Arabidopsis thaliana: one gene and its partner. The protein of the gene in region 1 interacts with the protein of each later gene in a pairwise test. Each region holds a gene or a part of one and is shown on either strand. Other genes may lie near its edges.

The links.
Region 2: the proteins of AT5G11070 (region 1) and AT3G13410 interact in a protein complementation assay, tested with the Arabidopsis thaliana proteins (one large-scale study listed by BioGRID).

The regions. Positions count from the first base shown.
Region 1 is NC_003076.8:3,510,807-3,521,959, forward strand, and holds AT5G11070 (uncharacterized protein), read right to left. Parts: upstream 6,230-11,153; 5' UTR 6,093-6,229; coding exon 5,634-6,092; 3' UTR 5,286-5,633; downstream 1-5,285. Other genes in the region: KNAT4 (homeobox protein knotted-1-like 4), read left to right, coding at 1-174, 666-786, 983-1,167, 1,502-1,633, 1,792-1,928, 2,128-2,161; AT5G11080 (Ubiquitin-like superfamily protein), read right to left, coding at 6,643-6,753, 6,843-7,001, 7,083-7,136, 7,254-7,418, 7,508-7,641, 7,716-7,785, 7,874-7,933, 8,029-8,051 and 3 more.
Region 2 is NC_003074.8:4,356,860-4,369,617, reverse strand, and holds AT3G13410 (2-C-methyl-D-erythritol 4-phosphate cytidylyltransferase), read left to right. Parts: upstream 1-5,301; 5' UTR 5,302-5,480; intron 5,481-5,566; 5' UTR 5,567-5,585; coding exon 5,586-5,707; intron 5,708-5,840; coding exon 5,841-5,943; intron 5,944-6,039; coding exon 6,040-6,099; intron 6,100-6,283; coding exon 6,284-6,346; intron 6,347-6,470; coding exon 6,471-6,671; intron 6,672-6,774; coding exon 6,775-6,886; intron 6,887-6,976; coding exon 6,977-7,188; intron 7,189-7,376; coding exon 7,377-7,469; 3' UTR 7,470-7,983; downstream 7,984-12,758. Other genes in the region: AT3G13430 (RING/U-box superfamily protein), read right to left, coding at 917-1,864; AT3G13420 (uncharacterized protein), read right to left, coding at 3,312-3,434, 3,783-4,167, 4,430-4,623, 4,803-4,895; AT3G13403 (Defensin-like (DEFL) family protein), read left to right, coding at 10,792-10,826, 10,943-11,081; AT3G13404 (uncharacterized protein), read left to right, coding at 10,638-10,684, 11,063-11,081; sks13 (SKU5 similar 13), read right to left, coding at 12,313-12,613, 12,725-12,758.

The DNA of each region.
Region 1 (11,153 bases):
GAGCAACTTTTGTCGGCACACGTGGCGTGCCTGAGGATCGCAACGCCGGTGGATCAGCTTCCGAGGATAGACGCACAGCTTGCTCAGTCTCAAAACGTCGTGGCTAAGTACTCAACTTTAGAAGCCGCTCAAGGACTCCTCGCCGGCGATGACAAGGAGCTTGACCACTTCATGGTAACTTAACTTCTCTTTCCTTCTTACCACTCTCAATTCCCATTATTTTATTCCTTTTCTTTTCTTTTGGAAAATAAAATCACTAAAAATTACTTTCATCTTTTATATTTAAAACGGTTTGACAAATTTGAATATTTTGTTGTTAATTATCTCCAAATTTATAAAAGTAAATTAGAGAAGAAAATCAAAAATTCTTTCTAGACTTGTACTTTGCACCGACAGACATGATCAGTGGGTTGGATAAATCGTCAGTTAAAAATTTGGATATTAGTTTTGCACAGTAGTAATTTGACAGCATAAGGTTTATTTTGAGATAGATTTTTGCTGAGTGTAAGTGATTGAGCAATTTCATTGATTGCAGTTACGGATACAGTGATCTGACAAAAACTAGTTTGTCACTTTCTGTATCTATATCCCATATTTTACTGTTCATGGACGTATTTGTATGATTGTATCTGTTGTCTGAAAGATATTTCCATGTTTTTGTGCAGACGCATTATGTACTATTGCTTTGCTCTTTCAAAGAACAACTGCAACAGCATGTTCGTGTTCATGCAATGGAAGCTGTTATGGCCTGTTGGGAGATTGAACAGTCGCTTCAAAGTTTTACAGGTTAGTTTTTAAGACTTCTACTAAATTATCAACTTTAATTTGTCATTTAGCTGTTATGGTAACTTTTGTATTTCACTATAGTATTGTAAAAGACACAAGGTTCTTTTATTTTATTTCTCATTTCAATGCTGTTTTTTATATTTAGTACCTACTTCTTGAGGTTTTAATTTAACACTTGTTTTGTTGAATGAGACAGGGGTATCTCCTGGTGAAGGCACAGGAGCAACAATGTCTGAGGATGAAGATGAGCAAGTAGAGAGTGATGCTCATTTGTTTGATGGAAGCTTAGATGGGTTAGGGTTTGGTCCTCTAGTTCCCACTGAGAGCGAGAGATCTTTGATGGAACGAGTCAGACAAGAACTCAAACATGAACTCAAGCAGGTAACTAGTGAAATATACTATATCCATCATTTACTACTACACATATATAAGATCAATGATAACAAATCCTTCACACCTTATTATATATCGTTGTAGCTAAAGTAAATATGCTTCTATTTAGTCCAATCAACCAAGAACTTGTCAAAACTTTATTTTTGATCTACAAAAAGACTCAAATGAATTTATGATTTTTAATTGTCTGAAGCTTGTTTGATGAGTTGTCAGTTTGCAACATCTACATAGTACTTACACGCACTTATATGCATGAAAATTGTGGTACACACTATATATAGTTAGCTTAACTAATGATATTGACCCATGTTTTTGTGAAAAGGGTTACAAGGAGAAAATTGTGGACATAAGAGAGGAGATACTGAGGAAGAGAAGAGCTGGAAAATTACCAGGAGACACCACCTCTGTTCTCAAATCATGGTGGCAATCTCATTCTAAGTGGCCTTACCCTACTGTGAGTTCCCTCTTTCTACTTCTTCAGTCACTCGCATGAACACGCCTCGTGGGTCTTTACCTAGTTCTGTCCCGAAAATCTTTGACTACATCATTTTTGCAACTTCATATGCTTTCTCAATCTCCTAAGTTTTAAATGAATCATGTAAATTTTGACAGGAGGAAGATAAGGCGAGGTTGGTGCAGGAGACGGGTTTGCAGCTCAAACAGATAAACAATTGGTTCATCAATCAAAGAAAGAGGAATTGGCATAGCAATCCATCTTCTTCTACCGTCTCAAAGAATAAACGCCGAAGGTACTTTGCACCAACATAACTTTATAGGAAGAGTATCCAAGAAAAGACAAAATATGATCACACGATAAGATACAATCTCTGAAATATATATATGTTAGGTGTGACAAAGTTTAGCTTGTTTATGTATGGTTAGATTAATGTTTAGTTACATTTTCAAGATATATGGAGTCATTAAATTTGGAGGGTTTTCTTTATGAAGCAATGCAGGTGAAAACAGCGGAAGAGACCGTTGAGATCAAGCTTGCATGTAGAGATCCAAAAGCTTTATAGAAAGGTGGAGGCATGAAGACAAAGAATTCTTACACAACAAACGTAGGACGTAATTTTGTGCCAGTACATGGTATGGCTTTCATATTTGGTAATGATTAGGGCCACACAAAATTAAACCCCAAAGCATGATTTGTAATATGAGGTTTTAGATGGACTTTATGATAGGATCGTCAGTCTTCACTGCCATCTCCATTCTCCACCATCAATCCATCATTATATCTTGTGAATAACATGGAAATTTCTCGTTATGCATTTAATTTGTGCAATCATTGGCCGTAATCTACACAAATATACATATTAATTTAGCTTGAATATATTATCTCAATTAATGGTTTCAATTTTTTTGTTTTGTTTTGTGAGTGGAACCACTTTTTATGTGGAATTGTTAACCCTAATGCCAAAATCTAAACTCTGCGAAGGTCGCCAGCAAACGAAAGAAAGAGATTATCTCCGCCGTTGTCAAAATTATTAAAAGGGATTATAAAGTTTTTCAATTTGGGCCCCTTTCCTGCGTTTTCTTTATTGTCCATTATGGGCCTCATTGTCTCTAGACTCTCTACCTTACAGGGTTTGCTCGCCGACGTTTCATACATAGTCCTCTTGTTTCTAAGGATGCCGATTAACACTTTTCATTTTTATCAACAAACTGGCTTGCAAGGGTTTTGAACCTGAGTGATGACCTACCATTTCTATCCATACTATAATCAGATTTTTTTTTGTTCTTTTTTATAATCAAGTTGGTGAAATAATTAACAACAATACTAGCACAAATCATTAACATAATGGTTCATACCTCATAGCCATATAAGATCATGAAAAAGTTATAGTTTTAGAAGTTTGTTTTTATTTTTAGTTAAAATTTAGTTTTTCCAATTAAGACCGAGTTATTAGTTAACAATGTAAAACTTAAGTAAATGCGATTTCTTTGGATTGGTTTGATTCGACTACAGTAAAACATAGGTCTTTGTTTTGTTTTAACCATAATAAAATCAATTGGATTATAAATAACTTTAGTTCTAATTCCGTTTACACATTTAGGTTTGCTTCAATTATAATCCTTCATGGAGATAGATAGCTAGATTAGTGGTGGTAATAATGTATGAGTTGAGAGAGTCTCTTTTTAGGTAGAATAAGATTGCACATGACGTGGCATTGTGAACGTTGTGGGGTTTTGTGATTGGTCTTGTCTTCTACTTACAAGACAGTCATATGAGAGGAGCATTTTAGAGCTGGCCCAATCATAAAAGACAGCTAGCTCTCTGTGACTCTGTGTTATCCGTTATGTTGCAGCAGCGACGAAAACAATTTGCTTCTTCTTCTTCTCTTTTGTCCTTATAGATAATACTTTTCTTTTCAAAATCAATTCACAATTGCTGAAGATATCAAAGATTCGTTATCTGAAAGTGACGCAGAAAAAGTACACAAAATAAAAGTGTTAGTGGGTAACTGGAGGATAGATAGAGAATATAAACAGAGAGGACGACAAAGAAGTTCAACATTCTCTCTAGTTTATCGCGCGCTTCTTTCTGTTACACGTTAGCCAATCTATGAGGAACATTTTCTGATTTTTTTATATGTAAGTATATTAGGATAATCATTGATACAAATATTCGATTCATCTGGTGTTTCTCTAAAAGATTAGGATATTTATGGGAGAAGAAGCTCTTCCTCGAACACCAATACGAGGAAATAACGTTCAATGAAGTTTGACATTACATCTTAATATTATATTTTAAGATATTTTTTAATATGCGATGAAGGAATTCATCTATGTAGTACGGTAACAATTGCAAGTTGAGGACGTCACGATTTCATTAGTTTTTATGGCATATCTATATTCGTCGTTGGGGACACGATGCAAGTATATTATTTTTTTTTGATAAAGCAAACTTTACAGTTGACAAAAAAAAATTACACCTTTACAATTTACAAAATATATGTTTAAAACATATCATAATACATTTGTTAATTAGAAACACTATGGATTTATATAGAAAATGTACTGGACTAATGGTGGATACAAATATCTAAAATGGAAACAATCAATGACGATGATTGATATTGAATGTTGTGACTCGATAGGAGATCAAGTCTAGAGATAGTTGTAAGGGAAAAAGTAGAAAAGAGTATAATACACTAAAAATGTATAGTAGACAAAACGAGCAAGATTTGAGGCATCAGAAGAGAAAGAGACATGTCGACCGGTGGCAAGTGGTAGGTATCACTATGTAACAACACAAACGTCAAAACATGTGAGAAAGCGTTTTTGCTTCGCTTTTCTTTTTCAATTTTCCCCACTTCACTTCACTTCACACAGTCACACTCTTATCCTCAGTATCTCCACTTCTTTTTTCAATGAAATGTTGTGGATAAATAATACGATAATTGGCATCCACTATCTTAAACCAGCTTTGTATGACTATGCCCGTGACAGCTTACCAGAATCTCTGTGTTTTGATTAATACTATTTCCAGACACTAAAGGTTCTTTTTTCCTAACCTAATTCATAATTAGTCGAAACGTAAAGATTGATTCTTCTAATTATTAATATTCATATATAATTCCAGTAGCTGAATCAGGTTCCTGTGTTCTATCTAAAAGTATACTATACAAATAAAAACCTTTTTCTTCTCGACATGAGTTTAATACTATATGAATATGACTACACAAATATTTTTATATTTTTTGAAAAAGATAAATATGTTGATGTTGTATACCCAAAAAATTGTGTTTTAGCTCCAAAAAAATACCAATGTCTTGCTTCAACGGTCTCAATGATCACGATCCATAAATCATAAATTTTATAAAGTTCAAACGTTTCTAGCTACAAGCTAGTTTCATATGATGCCGACACATTAATTCATAGCTTTCGTCTCTTGTCCTGTAATTAGTCTTAAATGCTTTATTTCACCCATATATAGCTTTTCACTTGACTCACGTTTCAACTCCGTTCTACCAACACTGATTTAATCCTCATCAGTTCAAAAATCTCCCTCACTCATCATTCTCTGCTATAGTTCTTGATGAATAAAAAACTCTAACCATCTCTTGTTCCATCTAAATACAATGTGGTAATTAATGAACGCTAAGATCAAATCAAGATTTGAAATGATGGAATCAAATATGCAATGATTAACCATCTATTAGATCCACACCATTATTTTAGGGTTTGTCCGTAACAGTTTATGAACAATTCAACAAAGCGCATAAAGTGAAATGGATTAAATTTGTAAGAAACATAGAAAATGTTTCTGCTTTTTATTTGCACACATCAATTTTACAAGTATATCAAATCAATATGGCGAGAGAGCATTTACATACACCTGACGTCATATTCTTACGTCATTTCTCCGGCGAACAGTTACATTCCACCGTCACACACAAGAAAACGAAAAGATATTTTTTTAAAGAATCTTTTTGTAATTAATTATTCCGTCAGAAAGAGATCAAATCAACCGTCGCCGATCTCGTCTTGGTCACCGGCGACTGAGGCAACCTCGCCGTGAAATTAGGAAAAGAACCATCGTCATCAGCTCTCACATTATCCTCGAAATTGAGCGCGTAACTCAACGGATCGTAACTGAAATCTCCAGGATAACTCTGGCTATGATGATGATGATGAACACAATTATTATAAGCACAATTGTTGTTACGACACGTAACCTTGATACGTGACTTCACACGCCGGCACCGATCTCTTAACTCTAGCTCCTGCGCCGTAGATTTGAGCCATTCGTAAGGAGATCTTGGTGTTCTTTGTTCTCCTCCGATCATCATGGCTTCTGGCTCAACCACCGCGTTGGCTCCTATACAACAGATCGGAGATCTCATTCTGTGATTTGTGACTCTCGTTGTTGATCTTGCGGTGGAGGGAGAGCTGCATTCGTTATACATTCTTGATCTTGTAAATTTTGTTTCTTTGAGGGATTTGTAAAAAAATACAGAGGAAAAGATTATATGGTTTCTTGAATTAGGAAAAAAGAAGACAAGTGAGGGAAAGAGAATGTGTCTGGTGAGAATAAATAGGAAAACAAAAAAGAAGAAGATAAGAGAGAGTAAACAAAACTCCGTGGATAATGCGTGGGCTTTTGGGCCTGATCCGCGTTTTCTTGCTAAAGTTATTTTTGTTTTGTAATAATAAATATTGCTACTTGTATAATATATAGTTTTCACCATGATAGTGCTGCTAGAGAAATTTGTTGTTTTTGACTTGAACTTTAAAAGAATCAATTTTTATTGGAAATAAGTGTATATAACAAAGGTGTTGCTACTATGTTATGAACAAAAAAAAAAAGACTTTTTGCTGTTCTATTGTAATTTGAAAAACAAATAGAGTTCCGAATGAAAAATATAAAAGTGTCTCCTTTTTGCATCTCTAATTGCTTCCATTCTCCACCACCAAGTTTCACTCGCTCTGCGTCGTCCACATCCAAAAAATAGTGTCTCAGAGGCCAAAACTTCCAACCATCTCTTTCTTGGCTTTGCTATAGTATAGGTTTAAAGTACTAACTATGTTTACCATCTCATGTTCTGAGTCTGAATCTGAAAGCTCCTCCTGCGAAATGATACCAACACACAAATGCAACAAAGTTATAACTATACTGCGTATATGTATTACTATGTCACCATGATTCCATTAGTTACATCTGTGGTAAGTCGAGGAGAGGAGGTATTGTCTGCATTTTGATCAGATGCATTGAAATAGAGATCGGAATGTTGTTGATTCCTCGATGATCTCCTACGTGATATAATTCTTATCCTCCTTCCTGCTCTAATACTTGTTTGCAGCCAAGAGTGATGTGACTATATGAAGAAAAAGGTCAAAATGTGTATGTGTCAATGAGTGATACATAAATTGGTGATGAAGAAAGAGACAGAACAAACCTGTAACCGATTTTGACCTGTTGGGGATATGAACACTGCACGACCAACATCATCCTGAGATACATACAAAAGGATAAGTGTTATATTGTAGTCGTAGACATACACATAAACGCAAAGGCATCTACAAGCTAATTCGTCTTAAAAATATTAATCAGATACATATGTACACACTTGTGTTTCTCCCATGCTAATTCTTGAGGTGCCATGGCCTAACGCAAGAATTGAACTTCCTAAGTGACACAAGAGGCTTCCTGATTCAACCACTCTTTCTTGCCGCAATCTTCGGGCTGATGGGTCCGTAACATTTACTTGATCCACAAGCAACATTGAAATATTCTGCACAATGAAAACAATTTTATCCCAAAATCAAAAAACATATAATGGAATGTGGTAAAAACTCGATTCAAGAGAAGAAGACAACATACTGATAAACATTCAGCAACTTCACCAATCAACAATCGCCTTGTCGTATGTGCCAACTCCCCCCAATGACATTCTCTTGCGATCAGATCCTCCCTGGAACGGTTAGGAGCTTGCCAGTTGTTATCATCATTGTTACCTAGAAAATTCACAATACAAAATGTCACAGAAATTCAGAGATTTTATTTCAACTAAATAGAAACCATGTCTAACCATATGTAGCAAACACTTGTCTTATACGATCCAGATGTCGAGATAAGGTTGTGATAGAATCTGGAATCACCTGCAGAATGACCAATAGATATAATTTTCATGAGTAAGTTAAAGAGTGTGTACCCTGAGAATATAAGAAACCTTTTACAATGACTTACAACAGATGGTGTATCATATCCTCTTGCGGTCAGTTGATAAGAATGGTCAGTCAGAGTCCCCTGGCCAAATAAAGGAGAGATAGATGCTTACTTCTTGAATCTCAAGTGGCCCTTAAACATCAAAGAAGATACAAAAGAGAGCAAGAGAAACTCACTCGACCAAGATTTGAATTAGCCGCTGAAAAAGAATTTACCAACTTAGAGAATTAGTATTTTACCAAGTGTTAATTTAGAGACTATTGAGAGAATATACACCTGCATTACTAGAGAATAGTGGAATTGGTGGTGATCCTTTTACCAAATACAGAGTGTGGCCTTCTTCAACATCTAAGATTTAACCCATTTAAAGAAAGATTCATTCGAAAAATGAAACCAAGTATTATGAGATGCGATGAAAAAAACAAAGGCAGGATACGATAATCTGATAAGCGTTGATCATTCTTCAAAACTCTTCCCCGGAATAACAAGCGAGGTTGTCGTTCCGGTGAAACTCCACAATAGTAACAAATATCCTGCTTCAGATCTCGTACAGGTATCTGCAAACCATAGAGAAATAAGTCTATAGCAGAACAAATATGATGCCATTGGTTATCACAACTAATGATCAACCAAGAAACCATTATGGAATACAGAAGGACACAAGGAAACACACAATTTTTAACCATAAAGAACAATCTTACAGTTCTCTCAACACTTAAGGTGTGAGTTGTAGAATGCAATATCTTAATCTTTATCCTAATCAAATCCGTGAAATCGTGCGTGTCTCCCATTCCTTTCAAAAGCTTTTGAAAAACCTGAGAACAAAATATACAAAATCCAATCAGAGACGAAAACACTAAACCAAACCAGCCAAAGACTAAACTTTTATCATCAGAATCTCCATATTTGGTGACTGATTATGAAAAGCTTACTCTGCGATCACCATTCACCACCAATATACAAACTTTGATCACCACGCAAACTCACCATTCGCTACTAACTTTAATCAAGAAACAGAGAAAACGATATTAACTAAAACCCTAGAATATGGAGAGCGAAAGAAAGCATCACGAAGACGAACGATGAGATTAGGAGGAAGAGATACCAAATGCGAAAGAGTAAGTAAGAACTTGAGAAAATCGTACAGATGGAGAACAGATTTCGGTGTGATGCTTGAACCCTAGAATCTCATCCACGATCCTGCAGAAAGATTCCTTTCTTTCTTCTTTCAATTCTGTTTTTTTTCCCTCTGCAAGAGACCTCTCAGTATAACAGATTCAAACAGAGCTTTATGCATTGCTGTTATAACGTTTGGGAAAATAACAAATATAACCCTGATTTGTTTCGCTTTTTCGTTTTAGACCTTGATATTTATATTTATATCATAAAGTCCTGAACATATGTAGAGCAAATTAAACGTTTCCATGTATAAACGGTGTGTTTCAAATTTCAATTATAGAAGTTTTTTGTTTTGTTTCCATGTGTTTCTTCTTAAAACTGAAAAGAAAAGGAATAAAAAAACGCGATAATTTTGAATCGAAGTTTCACAGAATCATGTATAATTCTCATTTTCTTTTGTATGATGAAAGAAGTGGACTTAGGCTACCAGAATCTCCGAGGGAAAAAAAATTGAAATTGTGTATATGGGCCATGCTGGCCCGTTGTTTTTAAGGGTATGCAAAAAAGATTTGGGTTCTGGGTCCATTACCCAATTTAAAAATATTTATTCATAGAAAGTGTTCTAAACATTTTTTTAACACAGAGGCCTAACTGCTATTGATTTTAGCTCTAGACCCTATTGTTGAGGAGAAGATGATGATTCTCCATAACTTTGGTGACTATTTTTTCGTCGTTTTAAAACTCTTCCCTATAACATGCAACCAAGTTTTTAGTGCATTTTATAAATTAATATTGTTGTTTCTTGGTCTTCTATTGGCGGGATGTCCATCATGGTCTCCAATTCTCTATTTGAAACTCATTAGTCAATCATGTTTAATTATTACAGTAGTTTTGTAACGCAACTTTAATTTAAGAAAAAAATTACTGTAATTTCTTATTTGGCTAAACCGTTAAACTGTAAATTGAGACAATTATAATGATTCTATATTCATATCATATCGTCGCATTTACGAGCCCTATATCGGGAATCTTTTAATTTCAGTTTCCTCTTTATATCTTAAAAAGTCAATGATTAATGCAATTTATGGAGTATAGGTGGGTTGGTGTGTGTTGCAATTACAACCTATGGCACGACAATATCTCTAGGAACAGTCTTCTCGTGGGGTTTTAACATTTATTTTTGATTAAAGTTGTTTTTACAAAGTATTAAACGGTGCAAAACTGCGAATTGTACAATCAAAAATAAAAAGATATTCAAATCAACAGCAATTTTCTAAATAAAATAAAAATAGTTATACTTATTTCACTAAATAAAATGAAAGTAAAGCAGAAATATGAAGAAAAAAAAAGTAATAGTAAAAGAAAGTTCATCTATAAAGAACTGGTGAACTCTTTTTAGCTATATTCCTTGGTTTTTCTACGAGTAACACCATTTTAGTGTAACATGTGTTTAAGTCTGGAGTGGATGCATTCTCGGTGGATGTCATGTTTTTCGATCATATATATATATACACAATACTACAATAAGATGCAACGGGTTACCACTTACCAGTAGCTAAATCAATACTTGCATGAAGGTAAACGGTTAAAAGTTAAAGCTAAGATAACACTAAGAAATCACGATACTTCTTCAATTTTAAGATAGAAGAGTTAATATTGATATGATTGAATCCTTTACAACCAAAAAAAAAAAAAAAAAAAGAATACCATTTTTGGTAAATAAGGTTTTTAAGATCGTTAGTTTCTGGATTGTTTAGATAATACTAAGATTTTTATTTTTTTTTGTGCACCAGATAATACTAAGATATTCAAATGTCTCTTTTAGTGGATGGTTATTGATTAACCAAATATACAAACAGATGTCGAAATGAAGAAGAAAAAATGGCAAATCAGCATAATATCATAATTATTGAAATCTGTACATTATAATATTGGATGCTAGTACAACATCATTGCTACAACCACTTTAATAAAATGAAAATATCAGAGAGAGAAATAAAGCATCATATCCTTTGTAATATGATTCTCAAACTCGAGTCAAATTAAATATTCCTTACAATTTACTATTTACCAATTACTATACTCCATAGGCATCGAGCCCTCTCTATTCAGTTTTACATTCTCGAAGCACCTTTTTATATCGTGCATGAGATATCGGACATATAATGAAGAAGATTGTAAC
Region 2 (12,758 bases), on another chromosome or scaffold:
CATTTCTGTAAACTTGCGTTATCGAGAAAACAATTCCAAACTATGGAACATTCTGCCATTTCAGAAATTGCAGAACCATTCTGTCATTCTTCACGCGGTAACACTCTGAAAATTTTGTGTGCGTGTTGATGCCTTTGTATCGTGGTATGTCATATGCTACAACTTAACAAGATTTTATGTACATACGTATAGATCAAATGCTAGTTATGAGTGGGTAAGAGTGTACGTATACTACATTATATTTCATAACATCATAAATAAAAACACTCACTAAGTTTACGAAATTTGTATGGTTGAGCTGAGACCGCCTTCGATGAAATCACCAAAGAGAGAACCAAAAGGGAACCGATCAACCACAACTTCCTTTTCATTTCTTTTCAAACTTAAGTTGAATATTTCTTTGATGGTACGGTATACAGCTCTAAACTTACGTGTATTTATATCAAATCAAACATACGACTAAGGTTCATTATATATATTCTTTTACTTCGTAGACATTTTCCTTGCAATGTAATCTATTTTTAAAACAATTCTAAGGTTTCCAAATTACCGCGTGAAGAAATTTGAAACATTCGTAATAGAGTTACGTAATTAACTAATTATAATACACATAAGACAGGATCAAGTCTTCTGCACAAAGAAGATTGGGATGACTGCACAAATTATTACATTTTTTTCTGTTTGAATTCTGGTCACTATAGTTGTAACTAATCGGAACAAATTGAAGCAAACCAGAAAGAAAATGTAAAGTCAAAAAAAAAAAAAGACTGTTAATTAATTCCAAAGAATACATTTTCCACCAAATCTGAGAAACTATGTGCAAACCAAATAACATTAAACACTAAAGACTGATCTCAAACGATCCCATCAGTTCTCCTCTGTTCAAGTAAACCTGTCTCAGATAGTGAGCCTTAGTTTAGTTAACCGATGAATTGTTCGAACTTGAGTCTGGTGATGATCCATTACTAGCCATAGAAGCATTACTGATATCTTCATTGTTATCATCGTTTCTCGATGTTTCTGCATCAGTCTTTGGCTCATCATCATCTCCTGTAGGAAGCAGATATCTGCAAACAGGGCATGAGCTATGAAGCTCAAGCCATGGCAACAAGCAGTCACTATGAAACTTATGCTTACACGGCATCTCTTTAGCCTCCATTCCAATCTCAAAATCATCCAAACACACACTACACTGCAACAAACTATCTTCGATTTTCACCATCGCCAATGCCTCAACCGCTTCTTTTGTAGCTGGAGGTGTCCCATACCTGTTGTTCAGATCATTCTCAGCCAAACGCTGAAGCAACGTCTCGAATCCAGGTCCAATGAAATAGTCACCCAAAGATCCAGAAGGAACAGAAGTGGTGTCTACAGAATCTTGATGAACCCTGATCCTTTGGTTAAATGAGTTGATCAAGACGACAAGCTCGCTATTATCGGGATTATCCTCGTTGTTCTCGGATTCGATCAATAATCCAGCTCGAATCCCCTGAAGCAGATTAACAATAGCAGTTGAATGTCTAGTCCTTATCCTCCTAATCTCTTCAAGTTGATGAGTTATATCAATTTCTCCATCATTGTTCTGATCACCATCATCACCATCATCTTCGTCTTCGTCTTCATCTTCAAGAATAGATTCTGAGTCTTCCTGATTGGTAGAATGTTGGTCGTGATTGTTGTTCATCATCTCCATCAAGATAGGAGTCCAGAGAGAATCAGCAGCCTGATGGTCATCATTATTATCCATTTCTTCAACAAAACCACTTTGACAGAAATTGCATTTGATGATTTCGTCTTGAATCAATGGAATCACCGATCGGGAGCACATGTGACACCAGTAGCTAGTCTCTGATGCATCTTCCATAGTTCAATCCTTCCTTGTTCAAACTCTCTCTGCTTCATAGCCAAATAAAACACTGAGATTTAAACCAAAGGTTTCTTCTTACGAAATGCAGAAACGATATCGAACCCTAGCATCAGAGACTTGATCAAACCAAACCAACCAGAGATAATAAAAACAGAGAAATCAAAATCAAATCACGAATCATTTTACTAATCAAAACTCAATCACGGAAGATTTGTAGAGATTAGAGATTTCAAACGAGAAAATTCAAACAACAAAAAACCTAGAAATCAAAAACATCACAAACCTCTTTAATAGGAGAATCGGGGAACACGGTTTATTAACTTACCTCTTGAAAATCAAATCAACGAAAAGTCCGAAGAATATCCAAAAGGAACAAATAGTAGACGAAGAAAACAGTCGAGCGACAAAGGACCAAAAATTCAGCAGAAAGGGATCATCGCCGAGAGGAATATTTTGTGGGTAAGTGTCTGAAAACGGCTGGAGATCCACGCAGACTTTTTTGAGTCTTTGACCCCTTTTTCAAAATTATTAATCTAATCAAATCTCATCTTAATAATAGTCAGACCGACGTGGATAAGTAAGTTATACCAATTTTTATAGGTCAAAGAATTAATTTGCACGAAACTCCTTGGCTACTATTAGGCCCAATTAATTAATTAGTACCGCAACTTCGCAATTCACATGGGCCGGTGGTTCAACATTAGGCCCCATGCCACGCCATATTCATCATTCATTTAATCATATGAGTTGGAGAACTCGAGTCAAATAGAGAGACTAAAATGGCTGGAATCTGGCACCAAGTTAGTCTCCTCAAGTTGTCATTAGATCTTATAAAATGATAACATTATGTTTATATCTGTTTCTTCTATTCTCTTACGGATATTACAAAGAATATTTCCCCATAGGCAAATCATGTTGCTACTTTAAAAATCTGCAATAAAAACTTCACTGTTTACCAAACATTTTGGATGAAAAAACTATCTTTGAAGTTTATACTAACCCTCCGATTCACCTATTTTTCATGTACAGAAAAGAATGCTAATGTACATTCGTAGTCCAAATAACCCCAATTCTATACAGTTCCGAGTAAAATGAATGATGATAAAGGCATTGTTCTTGCTTGTTATCCACTATGTAAATCTCGGATCTGGATTCTTCAAATTGAAAACAAAGAATGGCCTTAGAATTGTTGAATGAAGTTGCTCGTGACAAAAGCTATCTTCCTGCAAAAGTGAGTTGGAAACTGCCAGGCAAAAATGATAAAAGCTGAGAGCAGTGCTGCAAGTAGTAATGTAGATTGACAAACACATGCAATTTACTGAGTCCAAGGATATACCAAAGCAACAAGTGTTCTTTCTATGTCTATAAAAAGGTCAAGTGTGAAAGTTAACCTAACCAAAAGCAAGGTATAGTATAGTACCGTCCACAATCATTAGATGTTCTATCAACAGAGACTAGAATGAAGTGCTTCTAAGGATCTGGATAGAGGAGACTTCTTTCGAGAGGCTTCTGCAGCAGATGATTGGGATCCTTTGTAAATGTCTCCAGCTGAATGGTGCTTAATCACCTACAAAAGGTTGAAAACCCACTTGCTATGTCTGTGTAAGTTTTAGAGGAGTACTGAGACAAGAAAAGCAGCATACTATGATGTAATATCAATACTATGTGGCCTTTGTTTGTTAGTGAGAAACAAGTTTCACCTAACCTAGAGTGGCAAAGAGCTAAAAAGCATGGTTGGGTGATCTAGATAGTTCAATCCAATTCTCACTATATTGCATACAGTTTCAAAAGAAAGGTCCGAAAAGAAGCATCTGGAAACCCAATTGGTAAAACCATAGACAAACCAAGTATAAAAACCTCAACTACAATGAGTACACAAACAACTTAAGAGAAGAATAGGTAGAAATAAAAAGACCTGTGTTGCATTGGGCAAAGTGATATTGCTTAGGCCGCCATCTAACAGAGGAGTGTAGGAGGCAGGTTCGTCAATAGAATCTTCCAAGATTTCGTCAGAACGTGAACGTTGCTTAGCTATAGCAGGAGCCTGTAAGAAGCTATTTCGTAATTCTGGATCACGTGAACGTTGCCTAGCTAAAAGAGGAGGTTCTAAGAAGCTATTCCGTAAATCTGAATCTGATTGACGGGGAAATGGAGAGTCTATAATAGAAGCTCCCAGCCTATAGATCTGAAACCATAACAGAGAGGACGATAGCCTCACAACGAACCCAGCAATTTCCATAGCCAGGGTGAGTTTCACAGAGAAGATGTAAAAGACTTGATACATATCAGATGAAATGTTCCTGCATTAACAATTAAATCTTTTGTCAGTTATAGGCAGCAGATGAATACTGGCTCAACAGAATCTAAACACGACATAGCAAAGATTTGCAAAAAAAAAGGTTTAAAGATCAATCAGTTCAAAAAGATGATGAGCCAATCAAGAGAAATTCAGGACAGTTTACAATATGTGATGCAATGAAAATTAAACAAGACAGAGCAAACTCTTAAACCAAATATTTGATCATGATCACAAGCACGGCTGTTCCAAGGATAGTGACATACCAAATCTCTTTGGAGAAGAGAATGAACCATGAGACATCAAGAAGAATGGCGCAGAAAAGAAGAACCGCATAGGTTCTGCCAAGACTTTGGCTATTACTCTCGATTGCTACTAACCCAAATAACGCAATCGCCAAATTTATCAGCACGACTCCATTGTACAATGCCCCTAGTGAACCGATCAACGCGCACCCTATCTGAAACAAATGATTCATCAATATGAGTTTCTTGCACTTCTAACCACAATTAAAAGAATAACAAACAAATATCGACAGAGAAATCGTAGAACCCTAATCCCAAACAGATACGAACAATTCACGAGAAAAAACGTGAAATCGGAGGAAATGAAACAACTACAAAGCGATTACGGATTTACCTGAGCATAGATAAGAATCAAAACGACAGATTGGAGCCTAACGTAGTCGCGAAGCCAATTATGTATTCGATTTCGTAACGAAACACAAAGCATCGTAAAATCTCAACCTCGCAGCTCTCGTTACTTGTTACTTCAATGGACTTTCATAATACAAAATGGCTCGACGATTCTGATGCTAAATTGCAATTTTCCGGCGAACGAAATCGGTGAATCAAGAGAGAACGACGATTTGAGAATTTTCGTGAGGGAGAAAGTAAAGAGTGTCTTTGGCGGGATCGCGTTGCAGAAGAGGCAACAAAATAAAAAAATGAGGAAACGAAATATTCCGTTCAATCGTGACGAAGTTATTATAAGATTTAAGGAGGTTTCCGTTTCTTGTCCAGAGTGACGGACGCTTAACGGAGTCACGAAATTTTGGGCCGTATTGGAAAATCTTTAAAAGCCTAATCAAGCCCAAAACTTCAGACCGGTTAATATCTGAACATAACCGAAACCGGTTATCTCGGTTAGCGATTTTCGTTTCAAAAACGACGCCGTTAATTCCTTACATGTCGACTACTCATATGTGTCGCCCAGATTTGAAGATCGGAGATATGAATCTCTTCTTTCTCTGGATTTGAAAGTTCGATAAAAATCTACTGATACATCGACTTCTGGAAGCGATCTCGATCTCTCTAGGTTTGTGATTATCTTTGAATTTGCTGATTGTTTCGTTAGGCGTGAGGAATTGTTCGATTGATTTTTTTTCCTTTTGTCTCCGGTAGAATTGTTTCGACGACGAAGATGAAGAAGATTCAAATTGGTGCGGTGGCGCTATTGGTGTTTCTATCTGTGGCCTCTCTCTTTGAAATCGGATTGGCTTCTCCGAACACAGTTCCTGCTTTCCTCTGGTCTCCGCATCTCCAGTTATGCATCTTGTTTTCTCTATAATTCTCAATTTGATTGATGGAAATGTGTAAAAAGCCTGGGACTTGTGATATCTGATGTGAGTTAGCTTAGATTACTGGGTTGATTGGTTTATGTGATTCTGAAAATCAGGTCTGCTAATGGTGAATTGGATGAGGCTGTAAATTATCAGGTCATGTCTGCAAAGGATCTAGTTGGTTCTGTTTTCACTCAAGGAGGTTGGTCAAACTTTCTGGTATGGTTTCTTCTTCATGATCTTATGATTTCAATTCTACAACTCACTGGATGTCAAATGATTTTTCTTATTGTCATTACTGTCTCCTTTGTTTAGTGCTCAGAGAAGAAGCTTGAGCAACCTGTTGATGTTGCACTTGTGTTCATAGGCAGAGAGGTAATTGAATGATGTAGTATTGTTGTTTTAACATTAGCATAAATGACCTTGTGGATCTTTGGTTTCTTGTTGTGATATTGTAAAGAAACTGATGTTTTAATATTGCGGGAAATTAATCGTCTTTGCTCTGTATCTTCTGTGTTATGCTGAGAATTCTAATATTCACGTTCTCTTCCGCCTGCAGTTACTGTCTTCTGATGTTTCTTCAAAAAGGAACTCAGATCCTGCCCTTGTTAACACATTGAATGTAAGTGCAAATTTTCTTTTCTTCAACAAGAAATTTCGAAATTGCATCCGTAACACAGATCTCTGACATAGTTGTTTGATATAAAGTTTACAATACTCTAACATCCAAGTCTTTGTTTCAACAGAATCTATTTACAGCTTCCAACTTCTCATTGGCATTCCCATATATTGCTGCTCCAGAGGAAGAAAGGATGGAGAATTTGTTACTTTCAGGGCTTAAAGAAGCTTGTCCCAACAATGTAGGAGTCAGCAATATCGTGTTCTCAGATTCGTGCTTTGTTGAGGATGGAACAATTCAGAAACTTTCAGACTTGCAGTCTTTCAAAGTAATACTCATTGCTCTTAAGTTTTTATTTTCCCTAATCCCATGCCTTCCCAGTGTTATCACCCCCTTAACTTCACTTTCTAATACTCATTAATAATTGACAGGATCATTTGCTTGCTAGAAGAGAAACAAGGAAAGAAGGAGAAACTGACTTGGTTGTGCTCTGTTCCGAGGGTTCTGAATCGAATAGTCAAGCTGGACAGTCACATTCAGAGCGTAAGTGGAAAGATCATTACAAAATAATACTAACAATTAGATATCATTTGAGAACTAGGAAATTAAGCAATTCTTTGACCTATTCTGCAGGTGAAAGCTTCTTGGAACTTGTTAGTTCTGTAGAACAATCCGGCAGTAAATATACAGCTCTTTATGTTTCTGATCCTTATTGGTACACATCTTACAAAACTCTCCAAAGGTTTCTAGCTGAAACTGCTAAAGGAAACAGTACTCCTGAAATTGCTACTGGCTGTGATGAACTCTGCAAATTTAAGTCATCACTTTTGGAGGGCATACTAGTGGTAATTACTCTTTTTACTCGTGTTTTTTTGGTATTCATCGTTCTCAAGAAAGATTCATAAACATCATAGAATGGACAAGTTTAATGAGCATCTTGGTCATATCTAGCTGGAAGATAATTTAATTCAATGTGTTAAAATTTCGTAAAAGCCTTTGATTATGTCTCGTCCTTTTCTTTTTCTTTTTGCAGGGAATCGTTTTTCTTCTCATCTTGATCAGTGGACTTTGCTGTATGGCGGGTATCGATACACCGACTAGATTCGAGACTCCTCAAGATTCTTAAGCTGTTGACCTTAAGAGCCATCCCCACCTTTTGCTTTGCTTTTGACGAGTCTTTTCTTGTGCATAGTGCGCATTGTGGAAGGTACTTCAATGTCGATTTGTTACATTATTACTTCAAAACAAAATCTGCATATGCCATAAAATCCCCTTGTATCATTTATTCATCTTGTTTGTGAGTCTTTCTTAAACGTCATAAATTAATAATGGAGAACGAGTAAAAAACCAGAGATACATACACTGGAGAACGGATTACATTCTTTTTCAGAATTTTTTTTGTTTCTTTTTCTTAGATTATATTCCGGAGTTATCGTGCTCATAGTATCGTATTCATATCAATTTGGGGATTCGGACATAGATTTTCTGGAAGAAAAAAACTCAGGACAATAATGTCGGTAGAGTCAGAGTGGTAGGACATGTGTGTGTACCATCACTTGTATAGATAGATAGAAAGATAGATATAGATGATAGTTTTGTGAACAATTAAGAAAATAGTAAGAATACATATATAAGTTTTGTCATGCAACATGCAATTCTAATCCAAATTTAATGTTTGCCTCGGCATGTTTAGTCATTATTAAGTAATATCGATTGAGCAATTAGCAGTTTATAATTTATCTAGATAGACCTTTTGTTTTGACTATTTCGTTGATTTGTTCCATGATTCAATACTTAGCAAAACATCTTCATATGTTGGGGTCCTTATGGTCCCTGCATGGACCTATTGACAAAGTCATAAGATCAATCTTTCAGATTCTTTGATTGACCTCTCTCTCTCCATAAAGAAGCGTATAAAGAATCAAAATGACCGAAAACGATGGTTCTATTCATCTTTTCCCCACTATACATACTCCTACATTTATTCTAACATAACACTATTCGTATCCCTGTTTTTTTCAAAGTTTATACTATAACAAATACATGACTGTATTTGTCTAATTACGAAGAAGTTTCAAAAGCATCATTTATGAACAATGTTTATCTTTTTTTTTCTTACACAAACATTTATAAAAAATCATGTCACCATGACATGTAGCTTAGTTTTATACTAGCGATATTTTTGTGTCATCGTCCGAATTAGAATTTGCATATAATGCATATTATCGATAGAATTTATACGACTTTGTTTTCTATACTGCCACATAATTGAAATTTAAAGATTAGAAATATTACGTATAGGTTTTTTATTGAAAAAAATATTTTCAGTTTCGCACAAAAATATATGTAAAAAACAAATAGAGGGAAGCACATGAGACATAGGGGTTTGAGCCAAAAGAGCAGTGAAAATCCCATCGATCTGCCACTCCACCAACTGACATCACATTGTACCCATTTTCTTCTTCTTTTCCTCAACTATCCATTTTTCTTGTTTAGACAGACACCCCCGCAAATATTTATTACCTGAACTATAACAACAACCAAATTTTGAAATATAAAGAACAATGTTGAACTAACAAATTTGCTTCATCTTTTATTTGCTTTAGCTTTCATACGTAAAATCTCTTGTGGCGTTCACTTCAAATTTTATAAAAAAAAAAAAAAAATTATCTTCTGTTTAACAACATATGACATCTTAAATTGATATTTTAATAATAATGAAAAACTATAAAAATGTACGGCCACGCAAAAGTGACCTACTCGAGCAGGTCCTTTTTTGATCTTTTCGATAACTTTGAGATTCCAAGTGCTGATTTCTGTGAATTTTTGTATATATATACACACATATTTTTGTCAAAGAAACAATATATATATATATATATATATATATGTATATAACTGACGGTCTCTATTTACCGATTACTTGTTTATAAATTAACTTATACGGAGTATAAAATATAGATGTTTATTTAATAGTGCCCTTTCGAGTACCTGTCGGGATAACTAGCTAGGGTTACACGTAAATGTTGAGATTCTTTCTTCTTTTAAAAATGTTTACGAGAGTCCCTTTTTCTCTCTTTCTACACACATTTATTTCTCTCGTGAGTTATTTCTTAGTAAGTCCTAAAATTAGAAACTTATAGTTCCTATCAACTTACCAAAACCAGGTCGATTTTGTGCAAGTGCGTCTTGTTTCTCAAACCACGTCCCTCGTCTTAAATTTTTATTGCATATGCTTGTCTTTGCTCAAACAGAATCTATTTACCTAGGTCGTTAACCAAAACCTTTTTGAGCTTGTTAATTAGAAACTTGAAATTTTCAAATATGTTAATATTAAGGTTCTTTGATGATTTATTAATTTAGAGAGCATTTAAATATAGGAGATTTTGTTTAAACGTTTTATCAAATTTCACATTTTTGGTCAAAGGAAAAGAAGGTTAAACACAATTCAAGAAAACAATAAGATGACAATTTTCGTTATAGACAGGAGCAATTTATGTGTCTATGTGAAGATGTATGTGTATATATGTATATGAATGAGTAGATATGTATATGGCCCCATATCTCTTAATGGCATCTGTTAAAGCTGTAAAGGTTTTTGCAGCTTAAGAAAACTAATATTATGAGGATGGAGAAGCATGGAGGAACCTTATCTCTTTCATTAATTCTTTTTATTTTTCGAATATATATAATTCTTTAATATATGACAACTGTTTTATATTTCTTTCAAATTAATTTAGGTTTTTCTTTCCTTATCTTTTTTTATTATATTTTTTTGCTTATCTACCTTCTTGGGGGCATAAAATCTCAAATCTTTCTCTCTTTTCAATTCAATTATTTTATTCCCTCTTATTTCTCTTATCTCTGACCCATCTTCTATATAAACCCAGAGCGGGTAAGTCCTCTAGTATTCATAAGCACCAAAACAAATATGTAGAGATCTCCTCTTCCATTCTCTATTGTTACTTTCGAGAAGAAACATACAAAACACATACATTTTTCTTTTGTTTGTGGTTTTCATATATACAAGTGGGTATAGCTAGTGAAACGCGAATGTGACGAAAGTAGTGTGCAGCCAAGGATGACTTGCCGATTTAAATGATCTTTCTTTATACTCTATTAAGACAATTTAGTTTCAAACTTTTTTTTTTTTTTTTTTTTGAAGGATTCAGGAAGAAATTAGGATATATTATTCCGTATAAAATACAAGATATATAAAACCAAAAAGAAAAAGTAACATGATCGGCAAGTTGTCCTTGGCTACACGTTACTTTGTGTCGCGCATAGGTGTTATATGGTAAAGATCGCAAGAACTCAAGCTAAGGAACAATGCAGAAAGAGGTAACTAATTTTAAACGGTTTATAAAAAAAGAAATTCCTTGAAAAATATGTACAACCAAAATTAATTCCTCTAAATATTGAATAAAAGCTTTGTAGAACAAATTAAAATGCTCAGATTTGTTTTGGTCTATATCCCTGTTTCGTTATAGTTTTCTTTAGTATACAGTAGAAGGATCGTCTTACATCATAAAAGTCCAGACTAATTTCAGCTGGAACAGCAAGATCTTGATGAATTTCACTGGTGAATACTGATTAAAGGGTTGTATCACACACACTTTGCATATCTCTATTCATTATCTGCTCAACACGTCACACGTGCTTCTCAAAAAGATATACATGTTTGTTGAACATTTGTTTTTGTTTTTTTATTTCCTCCAGAATTAGAAACTATTTCTAAAACTGCTGCCAACCATGAGACGAGGTAATAAATAAATAAAATTTGGGCGGCCAAGCCAAGCCATATATGCGGCAGAGTCGAACTCTCGGGTGAAAAGAGACGGTCGCAGGTGGAACGCAATTAGGCTAGAGGTGCTTCTCGGTAATTCATAAGTTTTACTCACACCAAACCAATTTGGTAGACAAAGGGACTAGGGTTACTTGGATGTATAGCTTTTTGGAAAGTTTTTTTTTTTTGCCAAAATCATGTGGTAGTATTAATATTTTTCCATGTATGATTTAAATAAAGACTGTGAATATGAAATAGTGTACTAGTATGAAAAGAAATTCAGGTAAGTTAGTTTGTTTTTTTAATCTCGACTAAATAGAACTACTAGCTTCTTTACAAAAAATTTCATGTGCTGTTAAGTACTAAATAAAATGGTAAAATTTGGCTATATCATCCATATAAATGTTCAAAAATTATATTATTAATATCTCTACTAAATTAAAACATTTAAGAAAAAAAGACGTAACTTGTTGGAATCGCATCGTCACAACACGCGCGCGTGAACTTTCTTTTCACATTCTCATCGGTTGCTCTGTTTGACTTTGACCTCAAGCGTCAACCGGTTTTGCTCTCAGATTACGATGAATAGAGCTAGTGTACATGTCACGCTTGCTTGCGGTGGAATTTAACCTTTCAGGTGATTTAGGGTTTTATTTCGATCTAGGTTTCGTTTCTGTTTTCTCTGAGTTCCGATTTAGGGTTAAGTTATTCCTAGTCCGTATATCAAACTTCGCTTCCTCTCTGCTTCGAAACAAAAATCAAGCTGTGAAATTAATCGGTTGTGCATGAAATACATAATTTGAATCTCTTATTCTCTATCTCTAGTGTTGCTTCTTCGAAATATTTCTTCTTCTTCTTCTTCTGATTTTCAGATTTACTCATCGATATGATCGAGGAGACTCATAACAAATTATCCTTCTACTTAATTTCTTGAGATTAATTTCAGATGACTCCTATCCTCTCTGGATTGAACAATGACAGTCTCTTGTGTAGGAAGAAGTTTAGGTTACTTAAGTTGATTTCGTTTTACTATTATTAGAGAAACAACAAGTTGGACTGTAGTTAAATGATAGTATATGTAGTATTTTAAATGAAATTAGGAAAGGGTTAATTAATCACGTAATACACTCACTTGGAAAGTAGAATTTTACATATAAATTGAAAAAACTTTGTCGAAGTGAGTTTAAATAGTGTAGGGTGTAGGTAATGGCAAGCCCTTGACGATGCCGCAAAGGTTGGTGTTGAGTGGGATGTTGTACTCGTCTCTTAGTGATTTTTCAGGGGACAGAACACTGACGTACAATTGCTGGCCCAAGTATCTTCTCTCCCAGTTCTCTGATCTGATGTTCCACATACCGGCATTGTCGAATGTCAAGAGAATGGCTGACCAGGATTTGGGGTATACCTGCACGGTGTGTCTGCTAACGGCATCGAGCAAGTTGTAGTTGTTTCTCTTCTCTGGTGTCCATCTTCCTGGCTCGGAACTGTGTGAAAACGTTTAGAGAAAGTGTTAGGGATCTCATATCTTGTATAAGAGACGCAGGTCAATTCATTCATTGCCAATTGGTTTAATGGGTAAAAGAGAAAGGGCTTACGCGACAGCGAAGAAGGAGTAACCGTCCAAATGGA